2 linked regions of the Caenorhabditis elegans genome follow. The protein of the gene in region 1 purifies or fractionates together with the protein of each later gene. This does not show direct contact. Each region holds a gene or a part of one and is shown in the gene's direction. Other genes may lie near its edges.

Evidence for each region. The genes of interacting proteins can lie anywhere in the genome.
Region 2: the proteins of lipt-1 (region 1) and F59C6.12 fractionate together in Caenorhabditis elegans (co-fractionation; one large-scale study listed by BioGRID). This does not show direct contact.

Annotation. Positions count from the first base shown.
Region 1 is NC_003279.8:9,225,331-9,228,684, forward strand, and holds lipt-1 (BPL/LPL catalytic domain-containing protein), read left to right. Parts: upstream 1-1,574; 5' UTR 1,575-1,660; coding exon 1,661-1,756; intron 1,757-1,805; coding exon 1,806-2,042; intron 2,043-2,093; coding exon 2,094-2,212; intron 2,213-2,261; coding exon 2,262-2,462; intron 2,463-2,506; coding exon 2,507-2,723; 3' UTR 2,724-2,832; downstream 2,833-3,354. Other genes in the region: aspm-1 (Calponin-homology (CH) domain-containing protein), read right to left, coding at 1-174, 239-941, 993-1,053; gip-2 (Gamma-tubulin interacting protein 2), read left to right, coding at 2,833-2,890, 2,938-3,080.
Region 2 is NC_003279.8:10,519,072-10,522,555, forward strand, and holds F59C6.12 (UPF0598 protein F59C6.12), read left to right. Parts: upstream 1-1,791; 5' UTR 1,792-1,799; coding exon 1,800-1,858; intron 1,859-1,904; coding exon 1,905-1,987; intron 1,988-2,029; coding exon 2,030-2,091; intron 2,092-2,529; coding exon 2,530-2,670; intron 2,671-2,716; coding exon 2,717-2,893; 3' UTR 2,894-2,956; downstream 2,957-3,484. Other genes in the region: exos-3 (Exosome complex component RRP40), read left to right, coding at 1-90; ndub-10 (NADH dehydrogenase [ubiquinone] 1 beta subcomplex subunit 10), read left to right, coding at 290-446, 835-1,397, 1,480-1,542; dhhc-12 (Palmitoyltransferase), read left to right, coding at 3,081-3,111, 3,312-3,400, 3,463-3,484.

The DNA of each region.
Region 1 (3,354 bases):
AGTTCGGAGAACACATCGTCGAGACAATTGAAATGAGAGGACTTCGTGAAGATTCTCGTCAGATTCGGGATAACTCGATGAGTGTGTGCCGTTTCAATCAAGAACATCAGCTTCATCGAGACGGACAGAAAATGCTTGTGTAGAGCTTCTTTGCCAGCCTCAGTGATGATCGGTCTGCAAAAATTTGATTAGGCATAATTTTAACGAACTCGTTCATCCTCTGAAATCAGCAACTTACTTTCCAGAACCTTGTGCAAATTTCTTGTTCTTTAGCATCGTCGGATTTGAGAAAACTAGATCGAGGAAAAACTGAGAAAGTTTTTTCATTAAATGCTTCGGTTGAGCGTCAATTCTCGTGTTAAAGATTGCTTCAAGAGCAGTTTTCAGCCAAGCAGGATGGAATGATAGAAATGTGTGAAGAAGAGTTGTTTGGAGGCCTATGTCATTATATACGGCATGTTCTTTTCGGATTGCGACGTTGTTTTTGGACAGAAGATCCTTGATGCTTGCATCCATTCCTGAATCGTCTAGAAGCTGCTTGCACTTTTTCTTCACAACTTCTGGATCATTTTTCTCAAAAATCCGTTGATATCTCCTGCGTGCATTTTCCTGTGTATTTTCCACTTCTGACGTATCTGATCTTTTCTTCAACATTTTTTGGATATTTCTGCAGGCTTCTGCTTTCGACTCTCCTAGATCCATCTCTTCAGACACATCCAATTCCATCATTGTGTTGCACCACGTGGCGAGTGCAATAATTTGCTTGTTGGCTTTCTCATCATATGATAGAATCGGGGAATCTGATACAGAAGAGCTGATTGAAGGATTGAGAGGAGTTCGCATATTCATTGAAGTCGGACTCGACTCCAAAAAGGCTCGCTCGGTTGCTCTCAAATCGATCTTCTTTGTGTTCGATTTGACTTGATCAAGAAGGCGTTTCTCTGAAAGAGGAAGAAAATAAATAATGAGATAAAGTATAAATATCTTGTTACCGTGTCGATTTGCTAATCGTTTGAGCATTGCCTCTTTTTTATCCTCAACGTTATTATCCATTTTGATTCTGAAAAATACAAAAAATAAAGACGAATAAATCAGGAAGGAAGACACAGCGATATTAGTTTCAATGCCGAGTCCAAAACGCGAAAAAGTCCCGATGTTGTTAGTTTTTTGTCAGTTTTCAGTGCAATTGTCGAACAAAGAAGACAATTTGGGGACTTTTACGCGTTTTGGACGCGGTACAAATGGCCACCTAAAACGGAGGAAAAAAACGTTTTGGGGATAAATCCGGAATTCGCGCCGCGTTCAGGTTGGGTACTGTAATCGTGATAAGACCATTTCTTTGAACTAAGAAGTGTGCCTTTAAACTGCTACTGTGCATTTTTATAATTCACACAAAAATTATATTTTAAAAAAGATTTTAAGGTGACGATTTTATAGTAGAAAAGCGTTAAACAGTTTTCAGGTAGCTTTCGGAAATTTAGATCAAACAAAAATCAATGAAAAAAAAGTAAAATTTATGTTTTGAACGCTCGCGCCACAATGTCATAAATGGAGCGCAATTACTGAATGTCTGCGTCTCCTTAATGCTAGCAATCTCTTCTTCTCAAATCTTGCAAATAAACAGTTTTCTTACCTTTTCCTAATTTATTTTTCTTGTTAAATGTGTTCTATATCACGCGGAAAATTGTCCACAGTTCTGAAATCCACGTCAAGCTGCATTTTCGAAAATCTTGCGTATGAGGAGCATATTTTCAGGGTCAGTTCAGCAGTAATTTCAGTGCCTTTGCTATAGTTTTTGATTTCAGACTCACAATGTCGCTCAAAACGGGGAAATCCTGCTCATGTGGAGTAATCGACCGGCTGTAGTCATCGGAAGACATCAAAATCCGTGGATTGAAGTCAACATACCATATGCTAACAAAAATAATATTCAAATTGTCCGAAGGCACAGTGGAGGAGGCACTGTTTATCATGATCTAGGAAATCTGAATATTTCACTTTTAACAACACACGCACAACACTGTCGGCCAAAAAACTTGAAGGTATTAATATCATTTTTCAAAATAATAAAAATATCATTTTATTATTTCCAGTTCATTTCGGATGCTCTAAATCAACAATTTTCTGTTAAAATCGTTCCAAACAAGCGTGATGACATGGAACTACATCCAGGAGAACGGAAATGCTCAGGAACAGCTGCAAGAATTGCGCGGTATTTTTAAAAAAAATATTTTAAACACTTGTTATGTGAATAATTTAAGAGGTCAAGCCTATCACCATCTAACACTCCTCGTCGGTGCGGATCTTCAAGTATTATCAAAATCTTTGAAATCTCCATGGAGAGATAAAATCGAATCAAATGCTACAAGAAGCGTAAGAGCTCCGGCTGTTGGATTTCTGAAACAAGATGATGCCAATGCAAATGTCGAACAATCAAAATTAGCCATTGTTGAAGCTTATAGGTGAACGGAGCAACTAAAAACTTCCAATCATTAAAAAATTTCAGAAAACTGTTCGAAGAATCACATATAAAAACTGTGAATGTTGCAGAGGAAGTGAAGAAAAATGCAGAAATATCGAAAATCTTTGATGAGTTGAAAGCCTGGAAATGGATTTATGGAAAAAGCCCGAAATTTCAATATTCCCGCGAAAATAAGTCCATAATTGAAGTGAAAGATGGACTCGTGTTAGACACAAATCAACAATTCTCGCCGGATCTTTAGTCATTTCTTTTTATTTTAATTATTTTCTAGTCGTTATTTGATTTTCCGTGTATTTTCCCTTGTTCTCTTGCTCACAGTAATTCCGTTTAAGTAAAATTTAAATTTTTAGATGATGCGAACTGCTCACAAGGATAGAGAGCCGTGGAGGGATATTCGCCGTAGTTTGTGTAAGATTTGAAAAAGCAAAGTTTTTTGTTAATTTCGTATCTTTTAGTGAGCAAATGGCAAGGAGTACGTGTCTGTGATGAACCATCACCATGGTATATGTCCATTCCAACACCATTCAGTCAATTCCATAATGTTTTACCAGAAGAACAAGAGGAAATGGTTTTCACTGAGCTCAAGCTATTTCTAGTCGTAAGTTGGATTTTAAATATACTGTCGGAACAAAACAAGTAACCAGTTAATTTTGCAAGGTCTGGTTTTGCAAGACTGCGGCGCGGTTCGATGATGTAGATTTACGAAGGGTATTGTACTACACCTGGACAAGTGTGAATTCATTTTTTCGCAGGATTTTCGCTTGTTCTTTTTTATTTAACATTCGAAATATCTTTTATTCATTATGTTTCAAGTAAAAGTCGATGTATTCATTTTTGAAACCGACAGGAAGTTTTTCAACATTAATTATATC
Region 2 (3,484 bases), 1.3 Mb from region 1:
GATATTATCAATAAATCAGAGTTTATCACTGACGAAGATGAGCTTATCACCCTGGTTCAGAATAATTACACACGATCTGTCAGTGATTAAGAATCTTTATCTCAATTTTTAATTTTTCAGTGTAATTCCTGCTATTGTTGATTTTTTTTTCCTTTTGTTGTTGAACTTTTTAAAAATTTAATTTATCGTCTTGTTCTATGTAATATTTCAATTTTCAACGTTTCTTCGTTGTTTTAATATTTATTACTCAATATTCTCAATTCACAATGGAAAATTTTCGACATTCAGTATGGGTGAAGGCTTAGTGGAGCAACGTCAAGCTGACGATAAAGCATCTTGGGATGCTTACTGGAAAGTTCGTGATATCGATTCACGAGGATCCATCTACCCACGATTCCGTTATTATGCCCATAAGGCTTTCGACGCCCCAGCAACTTGGTTCAGAGGTAATTTTTAAAATTCTCAAGTTGGAGAATCATTTAAAGAAGAAGCAGCTTTGAAATTAGATTTAAAACCATTTACAAAATGTAAGAATTGACAGAAAACAAATTTCGTTCAAGTTTATTTACTTTCACCATTTGTTTTAATTCCAAGTAATTGATACTGTCTACGGTTTTATCCAGATTCAAAAAATTTGGGAACTTGTGGTGCAAGTAAAGGTTAATTTCTAATTCCCATATCATTGCTGTAAATTATAATTTTAAACTAGAAAAAAACCAAAGTTATTCGACTACCTCAAGCTGATGTACAGTTAGTAGTTGCAGTTCCACATAATAAATCAACTAGGCAAAACAATCCATTTTAATCTATTCTACTAACTCGTCAGCTTTTCAGAGACTATTGTGCAACCACTCAACAACAAGAACCGTCTACCCTACTATCACCGTCAACTTACACGTGTTCCGGAAATCGACGAATGCGGAGTGAACGACAAGGCCTGCTTCTACGAAGCCAATGAGCAGTACCGTCTTGATAAAATGGTCGATGGATTTATTCTGCAAACCCTCCGCCAACGTGTTGATCGGTGTATGCTTTACAACAATCCTGATCATTCACCATGTGCCAAGGTTATTGAGGATATGGAAGAGAATGAGTTGAATTTCTTCATGAAATACGGAGAGTTGGGAGGAGAATCCGATGTTCGTGATGCTTATATGAAGCAGAAGCATCGAATGATCTGGGAACGACGTCATCCAGAGATTATGGATGAGCGTGCAGCTAAGCTTGCTGATCATAAAGCACGACTTGCTAATGGAGAGTTTGACTATTCATTCTGGAAGAAGGGAATGTTCTATCAAGACAAGAAGAACTATGAGCCACCATATGAGTTCCAAATGAGCAAGTCAGCACTCGAGGGTGACAAGCCATTGTCCAAGGATTGGGAATACTACAAGAAGGTAAATATTCTTTCAAGATTTAATTTTAAAAAAGAAGCTACGAGAGAATCCTGGATCGAAAATTAAAATTTTATATTTTCAGGTCTCACAAGACCCAGAATTCGACAAGGATCAAGGAAAGAAGTCCGACTTCCGTCTCTTCTAATTCTACGCTGTCAATCTTTTCTTTTTCAATGAAATTTTTTAGAACGAATTGTGTTGAGTTTTCTTATTCCGTCGTAACAACTTTTTTTTCTTTTTCATGTTGCGTTCTTTTATTCCATTCAGAAAGTGAATAAATGTAGATTGTTTGATTGATTTATAAAGATTTGAATATGAATTTATGAGAAACGGAAATATTACCAGTCAGCTTTTCTTTTCAAATTAATTTAAATCAAAATTTAACTTTTTTAAGTTTCGGAAATGATACTGACATTTGCACGAAGTCTCTACACACAGGGGCAGTATAACGGAAAAATAAGGTTTTATTTTTAAATTAATTGTTTCTTTTTGAATTTGAGTTTTCAGAGAATATTTTTACTATGTGAGCCACAATGGTTTCCTATTTCTGGACGATTCGAGAATGAAGAATTTTACAGCGGCTTATAAAGGTTTATTTTACAGGAAAAACTGTTAACAAATCGAAATTTCAGATATTCAGTTTCTTAATTTCTTCTACAGAAAGATCAAGGAAAACAAGACGGGAAGATATGAGGTAAAACGCGAAATTTGCGATTTATCAACAAAAATACGGTAGCCGGTCTCGACACGACAATTTTTGTTGAATGAGAAAAGGTGTGCGCTTTTAAAGAGTACTGTAATTAAAAACTGTGATTTCTGCCGGATTTTTTTATTGATGTTTCCAATTCTTTCTATAAAATAATTCGACAGAATCTTAAGTTTTAATCTACAGTAATCTTTAAAGGCGCACACCTTTTCTCGTTTAACAAATATTTGTCGTGTCGAGACCAGGTACCGTATTTTTCACTTCAAAAATGTTGAAATTTCGTTTCTGGGTAATCTGAAAGTGTTCTAGATTTTCGATCAATTCCTATCGAATGCAATTAATTAAAGTTTCATCCATTGAATTGAGCTTAAATACTCAATTAAAAAATCGTGGAGGGAGCTGAAAAAAAATTATATGAAATTTCAGGATACATTCCCGTGGGTAAGCCTTTGTGGAATTGAGCGAAACTTTCTGAGATGCGACGACACTCCACTTGTTTACACGGAACTCGACTCCACTGAAAAAGAGCTCCGAATCGGGCAATCAACCATTTACCATTCGTTTCAAGTAAGATGAAGCACAGATTTTTCAGATCTGTATTCTAAAATTTCAGCCCTCATCACTTTCAATGAATTCAAGCGGCCGTGTTTATCACAAATGTCCGATTGGTGGAAAAGCACTGGTAGCTGACAAATTGACGGATAAACTGTATCGCCGGTTCCGATTTGACGATGACGGCGTTCCAGTCGGATTTCAGTGCGGGGAGCAGATAATTGAGCTTAAGAAATGAAATAAATAATAATTAATGTATATTGTCTGATGGAAAGTATCTAATGAAGTATTTAAAATAAAAATAATGTTAAACGTGAACCCTTTTCAAATTTATTTCCACGCCCTTTGGCGGCCTTTCAAAATCGATTTTTCAAGTTTTCGTTTATTCCCTGATCTTCCGGGAGTTATCTCCTCCACGTTGCATTATGGATGTTTGTAGGATTTTCAATCGGATAGGTCAGTTGCGAGACGTAACATTCTAAAATGAGCTTGTTTGGATGGGTCTTGCCGCGAAAACTTTACGGTAGCATGGAATTTAACGCGTTACCATAAACTTTTGATCGCAACTAGACCCACTCAAATAAATCTGTGCGCCTTTAAGCAGAGAATTAAAATTACAATAAAAATATTAAATATCGATGATCACCCTTTTTCAGTATACTTTTTGGTGGAAAAATCGTTGGGCGATATCTCGAAATTCGACCCATTTGATGTATTGAAGCTCGTCGCATTGTGGGGTGGACGTGTGAGATTTTTTGATAATTGGAAGCACAACCAGAGAGAAAGGCAGAAATGATAGTTTTTCAGTTATGTCTGCTGATTTTCGTGG